Linked DNA regions of Macaca fascicularis. The protein of the gene in region 2 purifies or fractionates together with the protein of the main gene of each other region. This does not show direct contact. Links are inferred from orthologs where the notes say so. Each region holds a gene or a part of one and is shown on either strand. Other genes may lie near its edges.

Region 1 (10,995 bases), on a different chromosome or scaffold from region 2:
AACGCTCACTCAAAGACATCTACTGCAGCAGCGACTCTATTAATTGAGTGGACAAGATGGCATATTCTGCAGACAACAGTTACCCTTTCCCGCAACTGTGCTATTGTGTGCTCAATGAGCTTATTTACACAGAGGTCATGGTGGCAGGTGTGATGGCTCTGTATAGGCTTAGGAACGTGGGCTTCCCCTTACCAAAGTGACCTGGCAGAAGAGACCAACACTAAAGCTCTGTTATGGCACCATTCCCTAGGGGAGGGCAGAGGAGCTGGGAATCAGTGTTAAAAACCTATAAATGTGGCCAGGCACAGTGGCTCATGCCATTAATCTCAGCACTTTGGGAGGCTGAGGTGAGTAGATTGCATAAACTCAGGAGCTCGAGACCAGCCTGGGCAATATGGTGAAATCCCATCTCTACAAAACATTCAAACATTAGCCAGGTGTGGTGGTGTATACCTGTAGTCTCAGCTACTCGGGAGTCTGAGGTGGGAGGATGGCTTGAGCCCGTGAGGTAGAGGCTGCAGTGAGCCAACATTACACCACTGCACTCCAGCCTGGGCAACAGAGGGAGACCCTGTCTCAAAAAAAAAAAAAAAAAGAAAGAAAAAGGAAAAAAGCACAACCTATAACTACTTGGATATGTAAAAGAACAAAATAGAACTTATAGACTTTAAAAAAATAACAAACAAAATGAAAAACTCCTGAAACAGGTTTATCAATAGCCTAAGAGATAATTAGTGACTAGAAGAAAGATCTGAAGAATGATCTGGAACATGGAACATAAAGATGACAGATTAAGATGTGATAGAGAGGTTAATAGACATGGAGAAGGGTATGAGACTTCTGTTTCTTTCACAATCCACAGTAATAAATGTATTTTACTTGTTACTCCATAAATATGTGTATATTAATAAATACAACTGAAACAAAAGTTTCATGAAATAATACAATACACTCCAATATATTCTATTTCATTCTTTCTCAACACTGGTAACAATCTACTACATTGCTTTTATAAGCCACTATTGGAAAACAACCTACAGTTTGAAAAATATTAGTTGAATAACTACTAATCACACTACAAGATGTAAAGAGTGAGAGAATAAGGTTGAGATAACATTCATTTTTATTTTTTCTTTCTTTGAGATAGGATCTCACTCTGTTACCCCAGGCTGGAGTGCAGTGGTATAATGGTTCACTGCAGCCTCAACCTCCTGGGCTCAAGTGCTCCTCCCACCTCAGCCTCCTGAGTAACTGGGACTACAGGCATGCACCACCAGGCGTGGCTAGTTTTTTTTTTTTTTTGTATTTTTTGTAGAAATGGGGTTTTACCATGTTGCCCAAGCTGGTCTTGAACTGGATTCAAGCAATCTGCCTGCCTTGGCCTCCTAAATTGCTGGGACTACAGGCGTGAGCCACTGTGTCCATCCAATATAACATTTAAAAGAGATATTCTCACATATGATACAACATGGATGAACTTTGGGGACTTTATGCTAGGCGAAATAAGCCAGTCACAAAAGGATAAATATTGTATGATTCTGCTTACAAGAAGTACCTAGACTAGTCAAATTCATAGAGGCAGGATGTGGAATGGTGGTTGCCAGGGGCTTAGGAGAGGGAGCATGGGGAATGACCGTTTAAGGGGTACAGAGTTCTAGTTTTGCAAGATGAAGAGAGTTCTAGAGATGGATGATGGTGAGGTTGCACAACAATAGGAATGTTAATACCACTGTATACTTTAAAAAGATAGTAAATTTTATGTTATGTGTATCTTACCACAATAAAAAAGTAAAATTAAATTAAAAAAAAAAAGGTATTGTCTGAGAGTTTTCAAGAATAATGAAAGACACCAATCACCAAATTCAGAAAGCCCAAAGAATTCAAGGCAGAATAAATAAAAAGATACAGCATGAGCTGGGCTTTGTGGCTCACGCCTGTAATCCCAACACTTTGGGAGGTCGAGGTGAGTGGATTACCTGAGGTCAGGAGTTTGAGACCATCCTAGCCAACACGGCGAAGCTCTGTCTCTACTAAAAACACAAAAATTAGCCGGGCGTGGTGGTGGGTGCCTGTAATCCCAGAGACTCAGGAGGCTAAGGCAGGAGAATCGCTTGAACATGGGAGGCAGAGGTTGCAGTGAGCTGAGATGGCATCACTGCACTCCAGACTGGGGGACAGAGCAAGACTCCGTCTCAAAAAAAAAAAAAAAAGATACAGCACGGTAAAACTGTAGAACATGAGAAGAGGGGGAAAAGACCAACAACCTATGAGGGAACGATGTAAGATTGTCACTGGACTCCTGAGGAGCAATGAGGGGGAGCAGGCAAACAGTGGATGGCAATCAACTGTGCTGAGAGAGGACAGCTGTCATTCAAGCAAGGAAGCCAAAACATCTTTCAAGAACAAGGACAAGGCCAGGTGCAATGGCTCATGCCTGTAATCCTAGCACTTTGGAGGCTGAGGCTGGAGGATCACTTGAGCCCAGGAGTTTGAGACCAGCCTGGGCAACATAGTGAGATTTTACAGAAAATAAAGAAAATTAGCCTGGCATGGAGGTGCATGCTTTTAGTCTCAGGTACATGGGAGTCTGAGGTGGGAGGACTGCTTCAGCCTGGGAGATACAGGCTACAGTGAGCCATGATCATGCCACTGCACTCCAGCATGGGCAACAGAGCAAGACCTCATCTCCGAAAATAAATAAATAAAAAACAACAAAAGACAAAAACGAATGCATTTGCAGACGAACAGAAACTGAGAGGGTCTGCACCAACAAACCTACAAAAAAGTAAAATTTAAAGGATTTACTTCAGGCAAAAGGAGAGTGATCCTGTTCATGAAAGCTAAGATGCAAGAAGAAGAATAAAAATGGTAATTGTGTGGCTGAATCTAAATTAATGTTGACTGTATAAAACAATTTAATAATGTCTCCTGGGGTTAAAATGGCAAAGGTTAAACTTAACATACACTACATTAAGGTGTCTAATTTAGAGGATGGGTGATTAAAGTACTCCGAAGTCTTCATATTTTAAGGAAACAGGGTAAAGACATTTTTACAAATATTTAAACATACTGGACTTTCACAAGGTAAGCATGCATGCCCAAAATTTTCAAGTAACCACTAAAACTTAGAAATAGAGTATGTAGGTGAAGAAAACAAGAATGAGAATAAAAATAAACCCCAAAGAAGAAAGGGGAAAAAAAAAAGAAAAACAAAACAGGCAGGACAAGTAGAAATAACAAAATACGATGGTAGAAATAATTCCAGATATATTAGTAAATATAATAAATGTAAATGGACTAAATGCTACAGTTAAAATACAAAGATTATTCTTCCAAGAAACCTGTTTATCATGAAAAATTTCAAGTATACAGAAAAGTGGGAGAAACAGTACAAGAAAACCATGTACCTGCGATGTCAAGTCAGCCATTGTTAGCAATTTGCCATGTTTGTTTCACCTATATTGGTATGTATAGGAGACTATTAAGAACACCTATTTTACTTTCACAGTGAACATGATATAATGAAATACAATTTAAACGGTAATCATGATGTAGAGTATCCATTTTTGAGGTCAAGCAGATCTGGATTCTCCAGCAATTTTTAATTATTTAACTTACTTGTGTGGTTATTTATTCAAAATGTCTCTTCACTAGGCTACAGTAAAAGGATTGGAATCAGGTTAGCTTTTCTGATCATTGTATTTCTAAATATTTATTGCATAAACAAATCGAATTTACTAGTAAAAATTCAGCACAGTGCCAGTTGCCTAATAAACATTTAACGTAGAGTAGCTTGTATTTATTGTAGCTGCTGTTGTCATTGGAAGCATTCAGCAGAGTGATACGAAATAAGCAATAATTGGTAGTTTATTATATTTATAATTATTATTTACAAGACGTCACAGTGCTTAGCCCATATCACTCACCCATAAACATCATGTTTATACTAAGTACTTTGACTATTATTCAAAGTCTCTAACAGTGCCTGGCACTACATAAGCAAGAGAAAAGTGGAAGTTTATTCTAATTGTTGTTACTGAATAAAGCATTTAACACGAGGCTGGCCCCCAGCGGACCCTTAATAGTTTTCGCGGCTGCAGTCGTAGCCGGACTACAAACCCCGCCTCCTGAGCAGCGCGAAGCCCCGCCCCTTGCTGCCCTGCAGTTCCGCCCCCGTGGCTTGTACCGCGCCTGCGCACTGTCCCGGGTGGGGCTCCACGCGCGCAGCTTTAGTCCCCGCCCCTGGAGCTGGCGGCGCAGGGCGCAGCTTCCCGCCGCCCGAGCGGGCCAGCCTGCTGCGTGCGTGCGTGTGTACGCCTGTGCGTGCGTGCGTGCGTGCGTGCGTGCGTGCGTGCCGTCAGCTCGCCGGGCACCGCGGCCTCGCCCTCGCCCTCCGCCCCTGAGCCTGCACCGCGTAGAACGACCCCCCCCAGCGCGCGCACCCCGTCGAAGACCCTCACCCGTGCCCCGACTGGTCCCCCCTTTTTTGTAAAACTTAAAGCGGGCGCGGCATTAACGCTTCCCGCCCCGGTGACCTCTCAGGGGTCTCCCCGCCAAAGGTGCTCCGCCGCTGAGGAACATGGCGAAGGTGGAGCAGGTCCTGAGCCTCGAGCCGCAGCACGAGCTCAAGTTCCGAGGTAAGCCCCAGAGGCCGCCACCTTCATGCTTGCGGCCCCCGCCCCAGTGCTGGAGGGACGGAGTCCGGCGCGGCGGGTGACGTCGGCCCTCGTCCCCACCCCGACGGCGCTGTCGTGGGGGCCGGCGAGGCCGGGCCGGGCCTTGGCGCTCAGCGCGCGCCCCAGAAATGCGCGGAGCGGCCGGGACCCTAGAGGACTGGTGCAGGAGCTAGGGCCTGTGCCTCCTCCCCGACCCCCAGCCTCCTGGGACTTGCCTTCGAGGCACTTGTCACTTTGCCTTGTAACTTAGTGACCAGTTTGTGATCACTTTAGTGTGAACCTCCGCCGCTGCTGTTGCCTGGAAGGTTCTTCCCCTGCTCTGTGACAGTGTTGACCTCAGGGTTTAGTTGAGGTATCACCTGCCCAGAGAGGCCTGCTGTGGCCACCCAGCCCACCGTGCACACCTGCTCTCCTGCTGTCCCCATTCTGTCACTGTTTCGTGGTCAGCACCGCACTTTTCGTACTCAAAATCACTGTTTCAACACTAGAAAGGAAACTGCATGAGGACAGGCTCTTGTCAGTTTGCTGCTGTGTACCCAGCACACATTAGACGCCTAGGAAATACCTGTTGAACCAACAAATGAACCTCCTCAGGCCTTCTGATGGGATTGGTCCCATTTTCCGTTCACTGCCTCCCTCATGGTGCCTCCTGGATGCAGCTGAGGGAGGCTGCCAAGGTGCTGGGATCCTTTTGCTCCGCAGAGCTGCCTGGAGCAACACCTGCGGTGGTGGGAAACCATGACCCTGGTTTCTCCCAGACACTATTATCTCTGTAATTTGTGCCTTTATGTTTTCTATGTTGTTCTTTTTTTTTTTTTTTTTTTTCCTACCTTCACCAGGGCCACGAGGTAAAAGGTCTGACATGCTCATTCCTTCTTTTTGCTTGTATCCAGTGATGTGGAAGGCACTAGGGAGGTGATGGATGAACAAGACAGACAAGGCCTCTGCTCTCAGAGAGCTTAGCTTCCGACGAGAACAGACAAACCAGCACACAACATCGTTACAGATACGTGGAAGGCCCTGGGGAGGTGATGGATGAACAAGACAGACAAGGCCTCTGTTCTCATAGAGCTTACCTTCCGACGAGGACAGGCAAACCAGCACACGTGATCTTTGCAGATAGTGCTAAGTGCTGTGTAGGAAATGGAACAGTTTGACTCCATGGAAGTTTACTGTAGATTGGAAGGTCAGGTCTCCACTATATCGCTAGCAGCGGGCTCACAGTAGATGTTCAGCTGGTATTAATGAATGGCCAGAGGTTCTCCAGTTTATATGTCTTATTGGGAAGTAGTGTAGGGTAACTTATGCAAAGTTACCCAGTTGGCAAGTGGTACATTTGAACCCAGACTTCAGAGTTCACGCTGTTAACCGTTATGCTGTCTGATCGCTGGGAAATACTCCAGAACGGTGGCTGTCACTTTGCCTTCCAAGTTAACAATGTGAAATAACTCTGAATTTACAGAGAACCAAAGGCTTTCCAATTAAAATGAAAAAAAACAAAAAAACCCCACCAAACCTACCGGGGATCGAAATTCCAGGATAGTACTTGAGGTTTCATGATGCGCTCATGGCTTTCTGGGAACGCCAGATTGGAAAAGGAGGCCAGGTGGCTAAAGTGGTGAGCCATGGTTTCCACTTGAGTTGTCTGAAGTTCTTTTTCTGTCTGGGAGGCCTGGCTTGGCTTCTCCTGAGAATTGGTGGGTTCATTCGGTTAGTCCACAAACATTTACTGAGTACCTGATCTGTGTGTCAGATACCCGGAGAAGCCAAGTCATATCAGCTGTACTCTCCCATTTTCCCTCAACCTCCTCCCAGTACTTTAGGGAAGGGGACAGATGAGAACAACAGCCAGGACAGGACAATGATGTAGGGTAGTTCAGAGTGCCCCAGGAGCATTGAGGAGGTCAGCTCCTGAAGGAGGTGTCATTTGAGCTCAGTTATAAAGGTTGAGTAGAAGAAGGCTCAAAGAAGGAAAGGGTGAGAACATTTCAGACAGAGGAAATTGCATGCACAGAGGCACAAACACTGAGATGACTGGGCTCCTTTGGGATGCCCAGTAGTTCTTTTTTTTCTTTTTTCTTTTTTTTTTTTTTGAGATGCAGGTCTTACTCTGTCACCCAGGCTAGAGTGCAGAGACGCGCTGTCTCACTGCAACCCCCGCCTCCCAAGTTCAAGCGATTCTCCTGCCTCAGCCTCTTGAGTAGCTGGGATTATATACAGGCGTGTGCCTCTACGCCTGGCTAAAAATGTATTTTCAGTAGAGACGGGGTTTCACCATGTTGGCCAGTTTGGTGTCAGACTCCAGACCGCAAGTGATCTGCCCTCCTTGACCTCTCAAAGTGGTGGGATTACAGGCGTGAGCCACTGTGCCCAGCCACCACTAGTAGTTGTGAATGACAGCAACAAAGAAAATTTGTTGTGGTTGCCCGGCAAGATGGCAGACAAGGCTGGTGAGTAGACAAGAGTCAGACCTCAGTCCCTTTATGCATAGATGCAGCCAGTGTCCAAGTTAAAATTGTGTTGCTTCTCCTTGAGCAGTCCTTCCTTGCATTAACTTTCTGAAAACCCCCAAATCCCAGTACAAACTCTGTTGTCTAATAGGATGTTATGGAAAGAGGCACTCATTTGAGAAAATTCAAGATTTTGTTCAGTTGTTTTACTGAAAGATGTGTGACCTTAGGCCACTTCACTCCTCAAAGCCTGGGGTCATTCTTTGGTCAATGGGGATGATGCTCATGTCCACCTTGCCTCTTGTAGAAAGTGTTTAAAAGGAATGACATGGCTGTTAGCGGCTTTGTAAGTGCATAGTACTATACAGAGATTAGACAACCACTTAACCACTTAAGTGGTTTCATCACTTCTGTACCTGAAAGGTGTGGCAGAGAAGAGGGATCATTCTGGCCCTGGATTGGCCAAAGTAATAATGCCAAAGTCACTGGATATTTTTGCTGGGGAAGTGGTCCAAGAGAGATGGTACCAAATTGTTGAAGGCCTCTGGCTTATAACTTTAGAAGAGACATCTGTGTGTGTTTTTAAACGACGTCATGAGTTGTGTTGTTTGTTTTAAACTGAATGCTAAGACAGTACAATTAATAGAGACTCAATACCCTGACTTACTTAGAGATAATTCATTTCAGGATGAAAACTGGCACATTTAACTGGTTTCTTCCAGGTTACTCAGGGTGATGACTCTGATTTCTGGTGGTTCACCTAGATGAACCTCTGAGCTAACTACTTAAGAAGGTAATAACTAAAATGCCCATTCAAAGGAAAAATTATCTTTTCAATGCAGCCTAAGTTGATCATATGGGATTGTATATTGTCAGACTCTTTAATCTTGGGAATTTTGTGTGGTATATTAAATTTAAGGATGTTACAGAAGAAAAAACGCAAATTTATATGACCTTATGCAGTTTTATAGGAAGTACTGTGCTGCATCATAAATATGGAAAGGACAAAGCCTGGTGGCTTCCTGAAAGAAGCATGACACAGGAGGATTTGCCTAGACTTAAGATTGATTTTCATGAGATATTTTTAGTAAGTGAACATTAAGCTCCTTCAGACTAGGGGTATCTTTCTGAGAGAGTAAAAGTAAATGTTTTTGTTTTTTGGCAGGGTCTTGCTCTGTCACCCAGGCTGGGGGGCAGTGGTGCCATCATAGCTCACTGTAGCCTCAAACTCCTGGGCTCAAGAGATCCTCCTGCTTCAGCCTCCCTAGTAGCTAGGACTACAGGTGCCACCATTCCTGGCTAATTTTTGGATTTTTTTTTTTTTTTTTTGAGACGGAGTCTTGCTCTGTCGCCCAGGCTGGAGTGCAGTGGCTGGATCTCAGCTCACTACAAGCTCCGCCTCCCGGGTTTACGCCATTCTCCTGCCTCAGCCTCCCAAGTAGCTGGGACTACAGGCGCCCGCCACCTCGCCCGGCTAGTTTTTTTTCTATTTTTTTAGTAGAGACGGGGTTTCACCGGGTTAGCCAGGATGGTCTCGATCTCCTGACCTCGTGATCCGCCCGTCTCGGCCTCCCAAAGTGCTGGGATTACAGGCTTGAACCACCGCGCCTGGCCTAATTTTTGGATTTTTTTATAAAGGTAGAGTCTTGCCATGTTGCCCAGGCTGGTCTTGAATTCCTGGCCTCAAGCAGTCCTTCCGCCTCGGCCTCCCAAAGTGCTGGGATTACAGGCATGAGCCACTGCACCCAGCCTAAATGTGTGTTTTCTTTTATATTTCTTTTTGTCTTTTTCACTAAGTCATAGGAGTTTTTTTTAAATTGTCACTCTTTCTGTTGATCTCAGTTCTTCCAAGGCCTAAATGTTTCCATGCCATCTCCTCACTCTGAGATCCCACTTGTTGTCCAGCTTAAAGAGAGCTTTCCAAATGAGTCACTTTCAAGGCATTATGTAGCGCTCTTCTGTCATTCTCTTCTCCCTCCCCTTCCATGAGAGTCCGTCTGTGGTAAATAGTATGTCTTACATATTTTTTGGTCATAGTTCAAGACTCTAGATCATTCTTTATACCCTAGCCCGTTCCCCTAGCAATGATATTGTCGCATGGAAGTGGTCTGTTGAACATCCATACTCACTAGGTTAAGGTTTTTTTTTTTTTTTTGAGACAGAGTTTTGCTCTTGTTGCTCAAGCTGGAGCGCAATGGCGTGATGATATTGGCTCACCGCAACCTCCGCCTCCTGGGTTCAAGCACTTCTGCCTCAGCCTCATGAGTAGCTGGGATTACAGGCACGCACCACCACGCCCGGCTAATTTTGTACTTTTAGTAGAGACAGGGTTTCTCTGTGTTGGTCAGGCTGGTCTCGAACTCCCGGCCTCAGGTGATCTGCCCGCCTTGGCCTCCGAAAGTGCTGGGATGACAGTTGTGAGCCACTGCACCCGGCCAGTTAACATTTAAACATAACTGGACGCATTTACTTTTGCTTTACTCCTTGACTGAACCAATGGCCTTCAAGAAGTCTTAGATAGTCCTGCCGTTAGGGATATCAGATGGGAGGGCACCAATGAATCGGTGTAGTTGAGTACCACTTTTCGGAGAAAATAGAAACTTGGACACTGAATGATAGTTTAAAGATGCTGTTTTGTTTTGTTTTGTTTTTTTGTATAGGAAAAGCTGGCTTAGACTCTTTAGTTCAGCCCTTCAAGTTGATGTGTAATTTAAGATTGTTTAGGAAGTTACAAAATCGAAAACCCTTTGGATCTACAGTTCATTCAGTGCAGTAATTATCTTTCATATGCCAAGTACAACATTAATTCTTTAACTTTAGCACAGCACTGATTTTCTTAACATGTCCTGATCACACAGAGCAGGCTGTGTTTTACAGCACAACAAAATGTCACCCATGTGCTGAAGATTCTTCATGGTAGTAGTTTAGATCCATCCTGAATAGATTATCTTCGTTTATTTAATTATTAAGTAGCTTGCTTAACAAAAGTGGCATTAAATTTAACTTGAGTCAAACTTAAATCTTCATAGATAGTACCATTTACTTCTGAAATCTTGTTCCTGGGAGAACAATGTGGACTGGAAGTTAGTTTACTTTTATCCACCTATTCACTCCCTTTTCTTGACAGTTAACTCCTTAGGGGGAAAAATGTATAGTTCTTGACCATGTGCTTATATTTGTAAAGCAATGATGTTTCCTGAATGTGAGTGGTTGTGACATAAATCACAGTTATCTTCATAATTACCTGGGAGCTTTTCATCCAAGTGTGGATGTACTAAAATAGTCTGAATTGATGCTTATTAAAGAGCTGAAGTCTTAAACATTAACACTGTCTGTTATTTATTAAATTGTACGTATGTTTCCTTCAAATACTGAAGGCAAAATACTGAGAACGTTGACCCTGTGTTATTATTGCTAAGTAGTTGAAAATTAGGGGAGGAGTCAAGGGAGTATATTATATTGGTTAACACTCAAATACTGCTCCTAGGCTTGATTTTTAGAACCAAAACTTGAATATTTACATAAAGAATTATTTCCAAAAGTGTCTTTTTTTTTTTTTTTGAGATGGCATCTTGCTGTGTTGCCAGGCTGGAGTGCAATGGCACAATCTCGGCTCACTGCAACCTCTGCCTCCCGGGTTCAAGCGATTCTCCTGCCTCAGCCTCCTGAGTCGCTGGGACCACAGGCACGTGCCACCATGCCTAGCTAATTTTAGTATTTTTAGTAGGGATGGGGTTTCACCATGTTGGCCAGATGGTCTCGATCTCTTTACCTCGTGATCCGCCCACCTCGGCCTCCCAAAGTGCTGAGATTACAGATGTGAGCCACTGCACCAGGCCAAGAGTGTCTTATATATTCCTGCTTTTTTG
Region 2 (10,233 bases):
AAGGGGACTACATTAACGAATAATCACTCTATACTAGATAATTAAGGGATACTAAGGATACTCAAGCTACATTACTAACCTTCTAAACTCATTACCTGTGTCATCAACAGACCACATATTGAAGTGGATATGTACTACTAGTCCAAACGTTTATGGCATCTCCCTTTTAATAAATGCTCGTTAAGCACTCACTTCTTAATGTTCACAAATAAGGGGACGTGTTTAAATATTTTAATATAGTCAATTTTTAGGATATGCGAAGAGACAAAATGAGATTCTAAAGTAGCCTACATAAAGCAACATCAACTATTTTTTTTTGTATTGCTCTTAGTCTTCACAAAGGGCAACAATAAATTAAGGTTTATTGAACCATTTCATAAAATACATGGTTCTGGCTATAATATATTTATACATAATGAGAGCTGTCAGATGACAGACAACATACTTGTATATATTTTAAGTCTTTTTTTTTTTGAGACGGAGTTTCACTCTTGATGCCCAGGCTGGAGTGCAATGGCACAACCTCGGCTCACTGTAACCTCTGCCTCCCAGGTTCAAGCGATTATCCTGCCTCAGCCTCCCAAGTAGCTGGGATTACAGGCACCCGCCACCACACCTGACTACTTTTTTTGTATTTTTAGTAGAGACAGAGTTTCACCATGTTGGCCAGGCTGGTCTTGAATTCCTGAACTCAGGTGATCCACCCACCTCGGCCTCCCAAAGTGCTGGGATTACAGGCATGAGCCACCGCACCCAGCACCATTCCTGATTTTTACTTACTTTCTGTTGCGGATATCGATAACCATTTAATTTCCAATATATTCCACTAATATATAGCAGCACAATAAAAAATTATTTACATACCTCCTTTATAATTAAAGCATGGTTAAGATATGAATGCTTTTCTCCATTTCTTTTTTAAAAAATTTTACATTTGAGACAAGGTCCTCCTCTGTCACGCAGCTGGTGTGCAGTGGCACCATCACGGCTCACTGCTGCCTCAATTTCCCGAGCTCAAGTGATCCTGCCACCTCAGTCTCCCAAGTACCTGGGATTATAGAAGCAAGCCACCATGCCCAGTTAATTTTTTTAAATTTACTTTTGCAGAGATAGGCTCTCATTATGTTGCCCAGTCTGGTCTCCAACTCCTGGGCTCAAGCTATCCTTCCACTTTAGCTCAGCGAAGTACTGAGATTACAGATGTGAGCCACTGTGCTCAGCTTTTCTTCACTTCTTGAAGTATTTCCTTTCTTGTAGTGTGAGAGGCTACCATTCCCAGATTCTTACTGTTACATGAACTGGTAAGACTAACTGTCCTTTGGAAGAGTGTCAAAGAATATGATTCTAAATGTGTCGATTCCTTAACCTTTATGACCTTAGACATGTCTCATCACCTCTAGACTTTTTTCTTTCACTTATAAAATAAGCAAATTGATCTATGAAGTGCTTAAGGCTAATGTTATGGAGTTTATAACGAAGGGTAGCAAACTTTTTTTTTTTTTTTTTGAGACGGAGTCTCGCTCTGCCGCCCAGGCTGGAGTGCAGTGGCCGGATCTCAGCTCACTGCAAGCTCCGCCTCCCGGGTTCACGCCATTCTCCTGCCTCAGCCTCCCGAGTAGCTGGGACTACAGGCGCCCGCCACCTCGCCCGGCTAGTTTTTTTTGTATTTTTTAGTAGAGACGGGGTTTCACCGGGTTAGCCAGGATGGTCTCGATCTCCTGACCTCGTGATCCGCCCGTCTCGGCCTCCCAAAGTGCTGGGATTACAGGCTTGAGCCACCGCGCCCGGCCAAACTTTTTTTTTTAAACTAATAAAATATGAATGATTTCAGCTGGGTGTAGTGGCTCACTTGAGCTCACAAGTTTGAGACCAGCCTGGGCAACATGGCAAAATCTCTTCTCTACAAAAAAATACAAAAATTAGTTGGGCATGGTGGTGCATGCCTGTAATCCCAGCTACTGTGGAAGCTGGGGTGGGAGGATGGCCTAAGCCTGGGAGGCAGAGATTGCAGTGAGCCGAGATGGCCCCACTGCACTTCAACCTGGGTGACACAGCTACACAACGTCACACACACACACACACACACACACACACACACGAGAGAGTACTTTCTAATGTTATAAAAGTTGTAATTAACTTGAAATATTATTTGGAAATTGGTAAGACATACTACAACAGAACTTAAAAATGGGGAAAACTGAAAAAGAGGATATTTTCTTCATAATGACTAAAACACAATCTCAAAATATTAGAGTGACAGGCTTAAATGCTGCCATGCTTACATTGTAAAATGACATTCAGAGCAAAGTGTTCTTTGCATAAGCATTTTCCTTTAACATAAAAGTGGTAGTTTTTTTCCTGTCATTATATTTTCATTAACTCTTCAATAATTTCTGTGGAGATTTTTGTTTTTGTTTCATATTCTTGGTCAAAAAACACTGTATTTCCAAAAATAATTTTTTACAATCTTCTGATGAAGTAGAATTAAATTTTATCAGTATGTATTTTTAAATATTCTATGAATAGCACCTAAATATTCTATGAATAGTACCTCTGGCCTCCATCTCCTAAAGTGCTGATATTACAGGCTAATGCCTGGAGGTAGAGGCCAAAAGATCACTTGAGCCCAGGAGGAGTTCATGACCAGCCTGGGCAACATATTGAGACCCTGTCTCTAAAAAGAAAAATAAAAAAAATTAGGCTAGCATGGTGGTGCATGCCTGTAGTCCTAGCTACTTGGGAGGCTGAGGCAGGAGGATGGCTTGAGCCGAGTAGGTCAAGGCTGCAGTTAGTTATGACTATGCTACTGCACTTCAGCCTGGGCAACAGAGCAAGACCCTGTTTCTTTTTTTTTTTTTTTTTTTTTTTTTGAGACGGAGTCTGGCTCTGTCACCCAGGCTGGAGTGCAGTGGCCGGATCTCAGCTCACTGCAAGCTCCGCCTCCCGGGTTCACACCATTCTCCTGCCTCAGCCTCCCGAGTAGCTGGGACTACAGGCGCCCGCCACCTCGCCCGGCTAGTTTTTTTGTATTTTTTTTTTAGTAGAGACGGGGTTTCACCATGATAGCCAGGATGGTCTCGACCTCCTGACCTCGTGATCCGCCTGTCTAGGCCTCCCAAAGTGCTGGGATTACAGGCTTGAGCCACCGCGCCCGGCCAAGACCCTGTTTCTTAAAAAAAAAAAAAAAAAAAAATACATTAAAAAAAAAAGATTTACCTATTTTTTTGTGATTTTTATAATAATAAAAATTTGGGACCAACCTCAATGTCCAAATAAAGGGAAATGTTTAAATAAAAGATGGAAAATATATTTCATAGAATATTATGCAGTCATTAAAATGTTTTATTAATGACATGAGAAAACAAATATATTTAATTAAAAAGCAGGACACAAAACTATATATTATTAATTCTAATTTTATAAGGCTAAAAGTCCTGAATATACACACACAGAAAAAGTATAAAATATTAAATTATATATATATATATGGATGCAGGCATTACAGAAGCTTTTATTTTCTGCTTTGTACTTTTCTAGTTTTCTAAATATTTGATAAGAAATACTTAAAATCGCCAGGCACAGTGGCTCATGCCTGTAATCCCATCACTTTGGGAGGCCGAGGCAGGTGGATCATCAGAGGTCAGGAATTTGAGACCAGCCTAACCAACATGGTGAAACCCCGTCTCTACTAACAATACAAAAATTAGCTGGGTGTGGTGGCATGGTGGCAGGCGCCTGTAATCCCAGCTACTCATGAGTCTGAGGCAGAAGAATTGCTTGAACCTGGGAGGCAGAGGTTGCAGTGAGCTGAGATCGCGCCACTGCACTCCAGCCTGGGCGACAGAGTGAGACTCCATCTCAAAAAAAAGAAAAGAAAGGAAATATTTAAAATCAGAAAAAAATAATTTAAAAAGAGAATTTACATTAGTTCATAGATATACTCCTCCCATCCCCCCCAAGAAGCATTCTGGAACACTCTAGGAATTGGAGCTAAAAATTAACTTAACATTTTAAACTTATAGTTAATATTTATCTAGGGTTCCTAAATTTAAGATTGTAGTTTGATATTAAAAATTGTAAAACAGGCACTTGACCTTCACGTGCCTGCTTGGGTTTCTTCCAAACGAACTATCCTTTCTTTCCTGTTCTAAAGCCTTTTTAAATAAACTTTCATTCCTGCTTGAAAAAAAAAAAAATATATATATATATGTAAAATAATTTTTCTACTTACCTTCTCCAACCATTGTCACGCCTATTGACATGCCTAAGAACTTGCTCTTAGTCCAGACATGCGCGTTTACACACATCTTCCTCTCTGTACATTCTGCATAAAATCCTGAGACTGGAGGATGATGAGAAACCTGCTCAGCAACAAATCTGACTGTATAACAGTCTGCTCCCACCTGGTTCAAAGACTCCTCCGATAAAGGAGCATGATTTGTGACTCCCTGGGTGGAAGAACTGCTAAAAACACTGGATGCTACCTCGCTTTTTGGCATCCTCCAGGAACAGTGAAATGTTTCTCCAATGATAGGATTGTATGGTTTTTTAGCAATGGCTCCCTTACGGCCTTCATGAAATGAGGTAAGGTAGTACTCAACAAAGCGAATCATTCTGTCCTCAGCTGTGGCTCCATTAGTGATGGCTATAAATAGGTCTGGATGAGACATAAAGTCTGCATACATTTCCAGCAAGGAACGCTTCTCTAGGATAAATGTAGGAAGCACCACCTAAAACAACAACGACAATCAATGAAAGAGGGGAAATTTAATCCATGTGTAGCATATCTGTAGACAACTGTTCTCTCTCTGAAAACATTTCATTCTAGATGGGTATTAAAAACAAAGTCATAAAGAAAAAGTGTTTAGTCACATTAAAAAATAAGCATTCTTGGCCAGGCACAGGGTCTCATGCCTATAATCACAGCACTTTGGGAGGCCAAGTTGGGAGGACTGTTTCAGCACAGTAGTTCGAGACCAGCCGAGGCAACATAGTGGAACCCTGTCTCTATAAAAGATACGAAAATTAGCTGGGCATGGTGCCTTGTGCCTGTAGTCCCAGCTGCTCAGGAGGCTGAGGTGGGAGGATCACTTGAGCCTGGGAGGTCGAGGCTACGATAAGCCATGACTGTGCCACTGCACTTGTACCTGAGCAACAGAGTGAGACCCTATCTGGAAAAAAAAAAAAAAAAAAAGCATTCTTACAAGGAAATGCAAACCTGCCCAAGATTAAACATAAATTCAAGAGGGTTAGAAGAAACTTCAAAAAAATCCTCAAACTTCTAGACTGGATAAAAGTATCACCAGGGAAACAGCATTAAAACTCAAAGTAAATGTTAGCCTGCCTTTGCTCCTTTCCTATGTTAAAATTAAATTGTAGATGAATGACCAAGACATGAGAAGAGTCAATAAATGTCATTCCCTGAGAACAGACTAAAGAGATCACAGACCGAAGCAAAAACTGCAACATATATTTAATCTTAAGTACAAGAGAACTATTTCCAATAAGAGAACTTTTTATACTTAAAACCAGGTAAGTGTAAGAAAGATTAAGTATTTTACTTAAAGCAGAGTTCGGAAAGGCACTGCAAAATGGTTCAAACCTGTGAGAAAGCAAAATCTGGCAATATTTTTCGAGAGCCCTAAGATGCTCTTAACTATTTAGCCTAGTACTTATTATTCTAAGAATCTAGCCTTAGGAAATAAATAATTGAATGAAGGAAAAGCAATGTGAAAAAATAATTAGAACAACCTCCATTTTGAACTATGGTTCTAGCTAACTGAAGTAGGGAACTTTCATTTAATGACTATTATAGTCATTTAAAAAGATGGTTTTGAAGATGATATAAATAATACAAAAGACAGTGGATGTTGCAGGTTCAGTTGGTGAACTGAATACATGCATCTTAATTTCATTTTCTACCAAAATTCCACTGAAATTAAATAAACTTCATATAAAGACAAACCCAGAGATACCAGGAAAGTAGACAAAACACAACAAAATTTTGAGAGTTCCTAACGAGAAAGCTGAAACTCAGGCAGTAGATTACAACATGCACAGATTCCTGAAAAGGCTCAGGAGCTGACAGCACTAGGTGCCTCTGGATCTGGGGGTTCACAGAAATGCTAAAATAAAAATAACTGAGTAAAATCTGTATGGAAAGCAATTAGATGCCTAACTCATACCCCCAACTCCACACTGTTAGTAACTACCCTCTTAGACCTCAAAGTCTAGAGGTTTAGCCTCCGGATAAACAAGGTGGTCTATTCTCTAGACTGGAGAATAGCAAGGAATTCTAAGAGAGAGGATACCAAGTGATACATAACAAGGGCATTTAATAACTTCATGTAAACTAAATGCTAGCTATTAACACCCTCTCTCATGCAGCCTTCTTCTCCTTTTTAACTACTTTTGGACTCACCAAGTGCGAGATGAAAAAAAATTTTTTTTTTTTTTTGAGACGGAGTCTCGCTCTGTCGCCCAGGCTGGAGTGCAGTGGCCGGATCTCGGCTCACTGCAAGCTCCGCCTCCCGGGTTTACGCCATTCTCCTGCCTCAGCCTCCCGAGTAGCTGGGACTACAGGCGCCCGCCACCTCACCCGGCTAGGTTTTTGTATTTTTTTTTTTAGTAGAGACAGGGTTTCACCGTGTTAGCCAGGATGGTCTCGATCTCCTGACCTCGTGATCCGCCCGTCTCAGCCTCCCAAAGTGCTGGGATTACAGGCTTGAGCCACTGCGCCCGGCCGAAAAAATTTTTCTTCTGGGAAATTTGACTAAACCTAGAGGAAAAACCTAATGATACTGACACCAAGTTTCCCAACAAATGGCCCATCCAGATTATGGGACAATGAAAAACATAGGCGCCACCTATGTGTTGAAGCTTAAAGTCAGGTTTTAGTTTCCCTAAACTTAATTGTGAGCAGAAAAGAAATACTGATTTCCGAGAAAACCTCTAACTAGGAATATAAAGAACAAAATAAAGAAACGGATTTGGAGAAACAGAAACCTCAAAGGAGGGGAAAAATAAAAACAAAAAATAATATCTTCAGAGAATTAAGAAGATATTATATACATACAACAAGAATGCTTTTTAAAAAAATCAGTACATTTAAAAACATAACAATAATTAAAAGTCAAAAGAAGGGTTAAAAGATAAAAGGTGAAGAAATCTCCCAAAACACCAAAGCCAGACAAAGAGAGAAAAAGAAAAGTAGGAGAGAAAAATAAAAGACCAGACCAGGAAGTCCAATGGCCATATAATAAGGATTTCAGAGAAAACAAACAAACAAACAAACAAAAAATTGGAAGAAAAATCATTGTGATGGTTAATATTGAGTGTCAACTTGATTGGATTGAAGGATGCAAAGTAATGTTCCTGGGTGCATCTGTGAGGGTGTTGCCAAAGGGGAATAACATTTGAGTCAGTGGACTGGGAGAGGTAGACCCACCCTCAATCTGCGTCGGCACCATCTAATCAGCTGCTAGGATAAAAGCTGGCAAGGGAACATGGAAGGACTAGACTTGCTGAGTCTTCTGGCCCACATCTTTCTCCTGTGCTGGATGCATCCTGCCCTCAAACGTCGGACTCCAAGTTCTTCACTTTTGGACTCTTAGACCTTCAACCACAGACTGAAAGCTGCACTGCTGGCTTCCCTACTTTTGAAGTTTGGGAACTCAGACTGGATTCCTTGCTCCTCAGCTTGCAGATGGCCTATTATGGGACTTCACCTTGTGATTATGTGACTCAATACTCCTTAATACACTCCCCTTTATGTATCTATCTATCCTATTATTTCCATCCTTCGAGAGAACCCTAATACAATCATCAAAGAAATAATTCAAGAAAATTGCAGAGAACTCAAAACCATGAGTTGTCACACTGAAAAGGCCCACCAAGTACCCAGATACAACGGATAAAAGAAATCTACATCAATGTCATAATATCAAGACATGACAAAGAAAAGATTCTAAACAATTTTGGAGAGAAAAACTACAAAACAAGTCACAAACAAAAGATTAGGAATCAGAATGACTTCAGTCTTTTCATTAGAACCCTGTAGCAAGGAGACATTATAAAAGATAATTATTTAAAAATAACAAATTCTTTTTTTTTTTTTTGAGATGGAGTCTCACTCTGTCACCCAGGCTGGAGTGCAGTGGCGTGATCTCAGCTCACTGCAACCTCCACCTCCCAGGTTCAAGTGATTCCTGTGCCTTAGCCTCCTGAGTGGCTGGGATTACAGGCATGTGCCACCATGCCTGGCTAATTTTTGTACTTTTAGTAGAGATGGGATTTTGTCATGTTGGCCAGGCTGGTCTCGAACTCCTGGCCTCAAGTAATCTGCCTGCTTCGGCCTCCCAAAGTGCTGGGATTACAGGCGTGAGCCACTGCACCTGGCCACAAGCAACAAATTCTATCTAAACCAGCAATGAAACATGAAGGCAACATAGACATTTCAGACACACATGTTCACATTTTCTTCTTACAAATCTTCCTGAGAAATTAATGGAGGATGTATTCCAACAAAATGAGAGGCAACCAAGAAAGAAGAAATGGATACAGTAAACAGATTTAGCCAAAGAGAAAGCTAAAGGAAATCCTGGTCCAGATTAGAGTGATGTGACTCAAGAGACAGACATACTGAAGACTGTCATCCACACGCTTCATGCTGCCATTGTATCATCTTTTCAAACCTGAGGATAAAAAAGCCTAGTGAAACTGATTCCAAGTGTATCTGTATTTGGCTTGTGTTGACTATCCGCTGGTGAAATTCTTACTCTCCTCTCCATGTTCTGCTGTCTGGATTGGCTGAAGATGCTCATTTCCCCAACAGATGCCTTCTAACTTCAATCTATTCCTGAGAGTTGGAGGTAGGTCACAGTTTGCTCTGAAACTGAGAATACTGAGCAGTTCACTTCCCCAGCCCACATTCCTCCTGCAGCTGGCTCACACCAAATGCTCTGGGATGTATATTTTACAGGACTCGCAACTTTGCCTTCTAATTTCACTACAAAGGGCTCTTCTAAACTTTCTCAATAACATAAAAAGCTAAAGCCAGAGACTCAAATGTTTAACTTATCTTTTTCTGGGAGCTGTTTTCTACAAATGGCAACGCAGTCCTTTCCTTATGCTAAGCTTATGTTAGCTATTCATTTTTTTCTAAACATCATTATGGAGTACAAAAAAGCAGTAAAACCATAGCAAAAAGTAGAGGGATAATTGACACAAAAGTAAAGTAAATTGTTATGTGGAAGAAAAAGTAGAGGACTATAACTGAGAGGGGAACTCAGAGATTCCAAGTTCAGGCAATGTTCTATAGCTTAATATCAGAGGTAGATACAAGGGTATTCATTTTATCTTTTTTCTTTGAATGTTTATATGTATTCCATTCAGTCTTCTGTGTGTTTAACACATTTCACACACACAAAAATTAACTGAAAAAAGGAAGTAAAACAAAACTGCATATAAACTATGACAAAGTGAAGAAAGATTAGACAGGAATACCAAAAGTGAGAGCTGTGTTATGTTAGGGTAGTGAAATGATAGATTTTCTTTGGTTTTCTAAAATTTTCTGTGTTTACACTAATTTCATATTATTATTTAAAAAGGAACAAAATGAACAGTAGGGAAAGTGCATATTACTTATTCACAATATGAAGGTTAGGACCATGGTTATCTTCTTTGTTGCTGTCCCAAGAGCTAGCACAGTGTCTGGAATATAACAAGGGCCCAGTAAATATTTGTTAAGTAAGTGTTATTATTAGATAAGACATAGCTGTGACAGAAGTTTAGTCACCAGACTATCTTTATTTATTTGTTTATTTTTTGAGACGGAATCTAGCTCTGTCGCACAGGCTAGAGTGTGGTGGTGCAACCTCGGCTTACTGTAACCTCTGACTCCTGGGTTCAAGAGATTCTCCTGCCTCAACTCCCCAAGCAGCTGAGATTACAGGCGTGTGCCACCACGCTAGGCTAATTTCTTTGTTTTTAGTAGAGACAGGGTTTCACCATGTTGGCCAGGCTGGTCTCCAACTCCTGACTTCAAATGATCCACCTGCCTCAGCTTCCCAAAGTGCTGGAATTACAGGTGTGAGCCACGGCACCCGGCCACCAGGCTCTTTAATATTGCCTGAAAAGTATCATTCCATTAAATGTTGTATAGATGTTCTTAATTTGTGGTTGGTTAATATTAATGTAATATATGTGTAACACATACAACTTTCTTTCTTTCCT
Region 3 (9,395 bases), on a different chromosome or scaffold from region 2:
TTTTTCCCAATTCTTAACTGAAACCTAGAAGTTCTTCTGTTGCCATATTGGTGGCCATTGCCACCTCCTTTATAAAGGAAGTCAGTGTGCCAACTTCATTATCAGAAGTTGGATTTGTGTTAGGATAGAATTTGACCACACTGAAAATCATTTTGAAATGAGTTCTAACTACTATTAAGGAAAATAATAGGAAAATGTATTGGCAGGGTAAGATATATCTGAAGCAGTGTTTTAATAGTAGAGGTGGCTATTATTAGATTGGGGTGGAAGAGATTGGGGTGAAGAACAAAAAAGCTGGCAAGAGAAAAACTCAGAGAAAGAATTGAAGTATGCTTCTTTAATTTAAACCTTTCTTAACTGGGAAGCTTGAAGAAAAATGGAAGAATCTGCCGACAGGTCAAATACATACTGTTGTTGATTAGAACCTCATTATAAATTTTCATTTTTAAATAGATTTTACATGGATTTAGGCATAGTAATCAAATCACATCCCCTTCATAAGAAGAACAAGTTTTGCCCTTTGAGCAAACAATCTGTTTATACTTAATATAAATTTGGCAGCTGGGATGGTGTGTTAGGTGTGCAGCCTCTGATAAATCTTATAAAATGAGTATTGTGGAATGCCATAAAGTTGATTTTGTAAATGTCTTTGTTAGCAGTTTATAGCTGAAAAAGCAGATTTTTTCTAAAATTATTTTAAAGCAAGTAAAAATTTAATTAAAATGAAAAAACTTGTTACTCTAATACTGCTACTATGTGTGGTGACATAAATGCTGTTAGAGTGAAGGATGTTGGGGTACTTTAGACCACAGGCTGAAGAATATGTAGATGCTGTCATAGATATTTATCTCCAGGCCTTCAACACTAACTTCAAATGGTTCAGTGTTGGTTAGGATTAAGATTTTGGGGCTCATAGTCTTCAGAGCATGCTAATTTTTACTGTGATGTTGAATCACGTGGATTAAAGCAAACAGCATTACTAAGATGATAATAGAAGTTAGCTTTTTTGGCATGTTTTTTCTTAGGTAGTTTCTAATTTTATTGGAATGATTGCAATAATATCCCCCTACGCCCCAGAACCTTATTTGAATTGCAGAACCAGAGCATGGAAAATGACCTTCATATTTGGATTTTGTTGACGTCAGTCATTCAGCATACTTGGATTGAATAACTACTCTTGACCAAAGTGCTGGTTTTAGGGGTAAATACAAAGAGAGATGGCTCTTGCTTTCCCAGCCTTTGAAGTGTTATAGGAAAGAACTTGAACAATAATTATTAAGATACATAATAAAGTGCTATGGTAGACGTACATGCCAGCGGTTATGGGAATAGAGGGAGTGGGCTCGTTATTTAGACTAATCTGACTGCTGGCATGTACTGATTTAGGCCTTTTAAAGAGTTTTTCATAAACAAAGATGTAGAATTTATGTTTTTGTTTGTTTAAAACCTGTAAGAAGATTTGGTAAAAAAAATCTCAATATCTTTGTAATACAGAATGACATGGAACCTAGCAAAACCGTTCCACTGAATGCATCTAAACAAGATGGACCTATGCCAAAACCACACAGTGTTTCACTTAATGATACTGAAACAAGGAAACTAATGGAAGAGTGTAAAAGACTTCAGGGAGAAATGATGAAGCTGTCAGAAGAAAATCGACACCTGAGAGTAAGTTCTGTTGGTTGAAAATAAGTTGATTTAAATGAAGGTATAGGACATGTGAGTGTTATTAGGCCATTTTAGCAATTAGTTTTTAAATTTATCCTTGGTCAGTTCTTTCTTGTTTTCCCCAATTTGATTATGTCCTGACCTTTGCTCCCCACCCTACTCCTCTCTTAAAAGTCTTCCTGTGGTTTCTCATTGCCACAAGTTCCTTACCTTAGCACACATTCTAATCATTTGTGATCTGGCCTGCAGCATTGCCAGCTTCAGCTCTTGTTTCTCCTGTCCTTCCCATTTTGTGCCCCAGTCACACTGAACTAGGATTGTGTTGTCCCACATCATAGCCATTAGTCACCTAGGACTGTTGAGCGCTTGAAATGGGATTTGTTCAAATTGAGCTGTGCTGTTGAGTGTAAAATACTGATGTTGAAGAGTTAGTACAGAAAAAGGTAAATTTTTCTTTTTTTAATGGTTACATACTGAAATAGTAGTTTGGGTATATTGGGTTGAATTGAATATATTAAAATGAATTTTACACATTTCTTTTTACTTTTTAAATGTACTATTGGAAAATTTAACGTTACATATGGGGTCACATTTGAAGCTCACATATTGGCGTGGGACAGCGTTGGGCTGGAGTATGCTGGAGAAGCATCTGTTTATCACCCCTCTTTCGCTTTAGTATCAGCTCTTCACTGTGACTGGAAAGGCTCAGAACCCTGTCCCTCCCGACACAGCACATACACATATTAATGTCTTGCTACTATATTCTTGTTGATTTTTCAGTATAGCGTTTGCTGGGACCCTCTCCAAAAGAAAAAAAAATCGATTTGTCCTGTCTGCTTTGTGCCACCACTATGCCGATTGCATTCTACTGCTCTTACTTGTTAGAGGCCTTTCTCCCTCTAGTGGGCAGTAATTTCCTTGGGGACAGGGGCAGTGTTTGATTTCTCTCTGCATTCACCGTACATGCGTGTAGTAGTCATATATTTGATTGAATAAATGGATGGTGAAGGAGGACCGATTTGAATATGTGTGAAATTTATGAATAATACTTGTCTTTGACAAGTAATTGTTTCAAGACCTGAATTCCTATATGTTGCTCTTTAGGCTTTGTCTGAAGCTCTTTGCAGCAACGTAGATGATACAAAAATATATGTAACTAAAATAAGCTAAATGATGGGAGTTATTTGATTATTCCTTTTGTTAGGTGTATATAGGAACTGCACTCTGAACACTGTATCTTAAGTCGATCTGTGAACTCCTTTGCTGAAATGCTTTTTAAAGTGAATTTTTGTGTCTCTTCATGTTTGATACTTCATAGTACCCCCTTGAGGGGTACCCCTCTGCTTCCAAGTGCTTGTCTGGATAGCGGGAAGAATATCTTTATTTCACACCTACACACCATGGATCTTTTAAAGGATTTTGTTGGTTACTTTTACTTCATCTGCCATGACTTCCATAGTTCTGTTCTTTGATAAAGATGTGCTCCTTAGGGTGCTCAATAGCTTTCTTTCAAAAGCCACTGTTTACCTCTGGCATGGAGGGGAGAGTGTAAACAGTAGGAGTGACAGGTGGGGCAGGTCTGGAAAATAGGAAGAATGAACCAGGGAAGTGAGAGAGACTTTATTCCTGGTTTCTGCTCTTTGTATGCTAATGTTCTGTATGAGATTTTATTTGAGAGATGATTCTGCTGTTGGAAAAGTAAAACAAAAAAGCTGTGCTGGGCACGGTGGCTCACACCTGTAATCCCAGCACTTTGGGAGGCCGAGGTGTGTGGATCACCTGAGGTCAGGAGTTCGAAACCAGCCTGGCCAACGTGGTGAAACCCCTGTCTCTATTAAAAGTACAAAAATTATCTGGGTGTGGTGGCGGGTGCCTGCAATCCCAGCTACTTGGGAGGCTGAGGCAGGAGAATCACTTGAACCTGGGAGGCAGAGGTTGCAGTGAGCGAGATCACACTGTTGCACTCCAGCCTGGGCAATAAGAGCAAATCTCAAAAAAACAAAAAAAATAAAACAAAAACCTTGGAGACCCACTGGCTTACAGAATTTCAGACCCTTTAGCATTTTATACACAGGCCCATCATAATTTTTTGCCATGTTAACTTTCTTGCTCCTGTCTGTTCACTATCCGTTTTAATTCCCCTAGCCCTATGGTTCTTAATTCACACTGCATGTGAATCACCTAGTGAGCTTTAAAAAGTTACAGTTTACCAGGCCTTCCCAAGACCTAATGAATCAGAATCACAGGAGTATCAAAAGTTCTGTAGATGTTTGTGATGTGTAGCTGAAACCGAGAATTACTACTGTTTTTATATAGAACTAATTAGCATGAGACCAAAAAAACCCAACTCCAGAAAATCCAGTAATGCAAATAAAACTGTGCCATTAGGTGTACTCTTTTAGTTAGTGTTTATTTATAAGCACAATAAAACAATCATGGGAGGTAACAGACACAGATAAAGACAACTGCATAGTTAACAGGTAGTAGTATTTTTCCCAAGGTTCACATTGCACACAGTGTCGTAACAACCTCCTGCCTGGAGTGACTTCTGCTTTCTTCTGAGAAACCTTGTCCTCTAAGGACATAGTGCTGTGTGAAGCCATATCAGCAAGGATGAAGCAGCCCACTCTTGACTGGAGGATCTGTCGTTTTGACACAGAGAAGCACCCTCAGTTTCCATTCCAGGTGCAGAGCTTCAGATAAGGGTTTCCTACATACATTTCTCATCTAAATTTGTAGTTCCTGAAGAAACAGTATTCTTTCTCTGCTTTGCAGTCCAGACCTGGTGCTATCCCTTTACACACAGCCCTCTGCTTTGCTTTGAGCTTGTGAAAACACTGTTACTTAAATTTCACGCTAAACCGTTTCCTTCCCCCCAAATTCTGTGACAACCGTATCTGTGTTTTTGGCAAGAATACCCTCTTGTGGCTCTGCTGTTTCGGTTCCTTAGTTGCAGTGGGTCAGTCAACCCAACTGGCAGACCACGGGTCCGGTAGTTTTTGACTGGGCTAGGACAGATGTAACTGATTTTAAATACCATGGGCCGCCTTGGAAGTACTCTTCTTTAATTATGTTTTTAGTGGGATTAAAATAAAAGGTAAATATAGCCATATCTGACTTTTATTTTTTAGGAATACATTTCTCAGCTCCAGTTTTAAAAAATCAGTGTTATTGAGGTATAATTTATATCCCATGGAGACACCCACTGTGAGTGTACAGTTCACTGAAATACAGAACTTTATAACTGTCACTGTAGTTCAGTTTTAGAATGTCCATCACCCCCGGAAAGTTTCCTTATGTGGTTAGCAGTTAATCCCTGTTTCTGTCCCCAGCCATAGGCAACCACTAATCTACTTTCCGTCCCTATAGATTTTTAGCTCCAGTAGTCTCATTAGTATGCTTGTTTTTAAAAACCTCTTTTGTGTGTTTGTTTTTTTCCTAGGATGAAGGTTTAAGGCTCAGAAAGGTAGCACATTCGGATAAACCTGGATCAACCTCAACTGCATCCTTCAGAGATAATGTCACCAGTCCTCTTCCTTCACTTCTTGTTGTAATTGCAGCCATTTTCATTGGATTCTTTCTAGGGAAATTCATCTTGTAGAGTGAAGCATGCAGAGTGCTATTTCTTTTTTTTTTCTCTTGACCAGAAAAAGATTTGTTTACCTACCATTTCACTGGTAGTACGGCCCGCGGTGACCATTTTTTTGTGTGTACAGCGTCATATAGGCTTTGCCTTTAATGATCTCTCACGGTTAGAAAACCCAATAAAAACAAACTGTTCGGCTCCTGGACAAATTGTATAGTACCGATCATCACTAGCAGATGTCAGTTGCACATTCAGTCCTTTATGAAATTCATAAATAAAGAATTGTTCTTTCTTTGTGGTTTTAATAAGAGTTCAAGAATTGTTCAGAGTCTTGTAAATGTTATTTTAATAATCCCTTTAAATTTTATCTGTTGCTGTTACCTCTTGAAATATGATTTATTTAGATTGCTAATCCCACTCATTCAGGAAATGCCAAGAGGTATTCCTTGGGGAAATGGTGCCTCTTACAGTGTAAATTTTTCCTCCTTTACCTTTGCTAATATCATGGCAGAATTTTTCTTATCCCTTGTGAGGCAGTTGTTGACTGAGTTTTTCATCCTTACAATCCTGTCCCATGGTATTTAACATAAAAAAAATAAAACTGTTAACAGATTCTTGCTCGATAGCTTGTCTGTGTCTGTCGTGTTATTGGAGGGGAGTCCACTATATATGGTCACTTGAAATTATGATGCAAAGGTTTGTCTTGCATTGAAACCCTCTCGGATATTACAGTGTTTTTAATTGAAAGTCCTAATTCTGTTCAGGAAAGGAGTTGATTAAATTTTGAGGTACTGCTGGTATTTTGGGAGATTATAACCAGTTTGTTTTCAAGATAACGGAAAATAAGGTCCATGAGAATAGAAGTTATGTGATTTCAGTGAGTTGACGTGTACAGCATGGCTGTGCTCCATCTGATTTTTACCCCATTCTTAAGTTCTGAGAGTATGTTCTCAAGGAAGATTTAACTCTCCTTGGTTTTAAAGTACTTTTTAACCAGCCTAGTAAGTCTTACTACTTTCCATAATATTTCATAATAGTTAAAAGTAGGTGTTTTTTCCTGCCCAATTTGGCACTCAAAATAATGTTCATTATGGAAGTTTGGTAATACTGAGCAAGCCTGTGGAATTTTCTTTATGAAAAATGATTTTGTCCTTTGCAAATGTTAAACCATGTGAAACACATTTTCAGTATAAGTATGTGTTACAGGGTCTGATATTTCCTGCACTTAGATTTGTCCTGTGTCTTCATTTATTCTTACTAGGATAGAAAATGTTGGAATCAGAAAATAGATCCAGTTTTTAGCTACATACGATCTAGTACAAGTGATTTTTTATTCTTAAACATAGGTGTTATTTTTTTAAAAGATGCGCTCTACCCGAAAAGGAAATTGGATTTTAGAACTGGATGTGGTGAAGTATTTTAGGCCCAGATCTGTGTACACATTTTATAGAAGAGTGAAGTATTCTGAAGTATTTTGGTTGCCTTTTCATTTCAACTGTGTTTTGAATTTGTCAGATGATACATACATTGTGTTATTGTGTGCTGTGGTATCTTTTATGTGCTGTGGTATTTTTTTATATCTCTTGCTTGTGTGCAAGTTGCTAAAAAGAAACACAAGTAATGTCTATCCATTACTAGCATGCTATGCTGCAGGTCATATTTCCATTGCTATATGCTTTACTGTTTTTGTGAAAATCCCCCCCTCCCCTTTTCCGGTAACTGGAAAAGCATGCTAAAAGGAGTCTTATATTTTCACCCCATAAATGGAGAATCAGTAATTCCTTGGCTTAAAGCTCTTATGTAATCAATATTATTGGTGATAAATAATCAAGTTTGGTATCTCATAGCGATCTTTTTTTTTAAGAAATGAAGTTCTTGAAAATTTAGCCAAATTCCGTTTTATGGGAATGCTCCTTAGAATTCATTTTGTTCAGTCCCTTTGTTTTATAGTTGAGAAATCTGAGGCCTTACGAAGGTTAAGAGAACTTTCCCCATGTCTCACAGGTAGGTAGAGGCAGAGCTGGAACTAGAAATCTGTTGACTCTAGCTCAGTGTCTTTTCTGATAACTTGAAAATTGTCTTAGTTTGAGAGATGGCTGAAATAATGAACATAAAATGCTATTTATAATAACAAGTATATGTGACATTTCCTATTGTAAGACTACTGCCGGCTTACTGTTGAATAGTTTGGTTATAGTGTTTAGGCTAGACATGCTTCCCACATTGGTAATAAATAACATTACAAAATACAATGTATTTTTAGGTAGGCATTTTATAAAATGCATTATGCCATGGTTGCTTTTGAGATAGATTGTAGTCTGGGTAGCATCTTTAAAATGTATGTGGGCTTAACTGTTGTTCATATCAGGAGATGCTCTGATTGTATAGATGAGACTGTTTCTGTTATTTTTATTGCTGTATGAAATGTGATCAGATTATTTTACTACCAACAGTTATAGTTTGAAACTGTATTAGTTGACTGATAATATGATAATATAGAGATTAAATTGTCTTCATTCCTTACATGTTTAGAAGTTTTTGCTTTATCTCCCTGCTTACTTGTATATGTAAGCATGAGGGAAATACACTGTTGATAATACTGAAATTACAGTCAAGTAACTAAGGCCTTAAGTTCATATGTGACACTGAATGCACTAGCTTCTTTTGTTCTATAACTAATGTACCTTAACTTCCCTCATTCTTGTATTTACAAGATACTAAGAAGTTATGTTCTGAGTGTGTGGTATGTTCCCTTAAAAAAAAATGACACTTGGAAGAAAAATGTATGAAATTCAGAAATTCCGATCAAAGAAAAGTAATTTTCTCTTGTCTTTCTTTCTTTCTTTTTCTTTTTTTTTTTTTGAGACAGAGTCTTGCTTTGTTGCCCAGGCTGGAGTGCAGTGGTGTGATCTCACCTCACTGCAGCTTCTGTCTCCTGGGTTCGAGTGATTCTCATGGCTCAGCCTCCTGAGTAGCTGGGATTACAGATGTGAACCACCAAGCCCGGCTAATTTTTGTATTTCTAGTAGAGACAGGTGTTTCACCATATTGGCCAGGCTGGGCTCAAACTCCTGAATTCTGCCTGCCTCGGCCTCCCAAAGTGCTGGGATTACAGGTGTGAGCTGCCACACCCAGCCAAGAAAAATAATACTCTTAAATATTTAGCTCAGATGTTCACCTAAAGTTGATATTATTTGGTATGGGAATTACTTTTGAACTGTAATCTTTCAGGTGATACCACTTTGAAAACAAGTTTTAACAGTAAGGTAAAAATATAGTTCTTGAGGGTGTATTCCCCACTTGTGATCTTCTGCCACTTTAAAGACATTCAATTAATAGTTTTCCTAGAGCTTTGCATATTCCCATTCACAGATTTTTAAAATTTCATCCTTTATTAGTGGGAAGGATCAATGCTTACCATTTGGAAAGACAAAGATCAGAAGGTAAATAAATTATCTTTATTTTCTAGCTTTAAAGGGAAATTAAACTATTCGTGAATAAACTGTTTAAAAATGTGAAGTGTCCTTTTCCTTTTCACAATACAAAAAATTTCAACAGATTGTGATGGTTTGTGCATTTATATCCTGTTAAGCATTAATAGCTAATCACTGACTGGGACTTGCATTCTGATGGCAGATAGTCTCTTGCTTAGTGAGATAGAGTTAACTGTTTTGTAGTAGGAAGTGAGAACAGCTGATTTTTCATTCCACATTTCATAGCCCACTTTTGGTAGATTACAGCCATGCTTCTTCGCAGAAGCAGTGACATCTTGGGAATGAATGCCCAGCCAGTCCTGGGTTGGTGCAAAGAAGTATAAACATACATCACTAGGGAAAAAGAGTTTGTCTTCCCCTTCTGACACAGTGTGTGCACTTTAGGCAATTTTTGGAAAATATAAAAAATTGCAAATTCTGCCTTTCAGCAGCATCAATTGCTAGGAACATTTCATTCATTTCCCTATAATATTAATGTTCTTTAAGCATAATCACTAATTATAAGTTGTATCCTATTTTTCTCCAACTTAATTTCTGTGGTTTATTGAAAACCAAGTATAAATGTGACTGCAAAAGCATTTTGCTTTGTTTTTATAGTTACTTTCTTGAGGTTATGGACATTTTATAATGTAACACTTGATTGGCCT

Evidence for each region.
Region 1: the proteins of OSBPL11 (region 2) and VAPB purify together in Homo sapiens (affinity purification with mass spectrometry; 4 studies listed by BioGRID and IntAct, counting the BioPlex papers as one, with this or other methods). This does not show direct contact. The link is inferred for Macaca fascicularis from reciprocal best matches to the Homo sapiens genes OSBPL11 and VAPB.
Region 3: the proteins of OSBPL11 (region 2) and VAPA purify together in Homo sapiens (co-immunoprecipitation; 4 studies listed by BioGRID and IntAct, counting the BioPlex papers as one, with this or other methods). This does not show direct contact. The link is inferred for Macaca fascicularis from reciprocal best matches to the Homo sapiens genes OSBPL11 and VAPA.

Annotation. Positions count from the first base shown.
Region 1 is NC_088384.1:114,453,117-114,464,111, forward strand, and holds the start of VAPB (vesicle-associated membrane protein-associated protein B/C), read left to right. Parts: upstream 1-4,347; 5' UTR 4,348-4,579; coding exon 4,580-4,637; intron 4,638-10,995. UniProt on the Homo sapiens protein: Endoplasmic reticulum (ER)-anchored protein that mediates the formation of contact sites between the ER and endosomes via interaction with FFAT motif-containing proteins such as STARD3 or WDR44.
Region 2 is NC_088376.1:157,689,886-157,700,118, reverse strand, and holds part of OSBPL11 (oxysterol-binding protein-related protein 11), read right to left. Parts: intron 4,731-10,233; coding exon 4,232-4,730; intron 1-4,231. UniProt on the Homo sapiens protein: Plays a role in regulating ADIPOQ and FABP4 levels in differentiating adipocytes and is also involved in regulation of adipocyte triglyceride storage. Weakly binds 25-hydroxycholesterol. Interacts with OSBPL9 to function as lipid transfer proteins.
Region 3 is NC_088392.1:78,298,102-78,307,496, forward strand, and holds the end of VAPA (vesicle-associated membrane protein-associated protein A), read left to right. Parts: intron 1-1,494; coding exon 1,495-1,668; intron 1,669-5,110; coding exon 5,111-5,269; 3' UTR 5,270-5,879; downstream 5,880-9,395. UniProt on the Homo sapiens protein: Endoplasmic reticulum (ER)-anchored protein that mediates the formation of contact sites between the ER and endosomes via interaction with FFAT motif-containing proteins such as STARD3 or WDR44.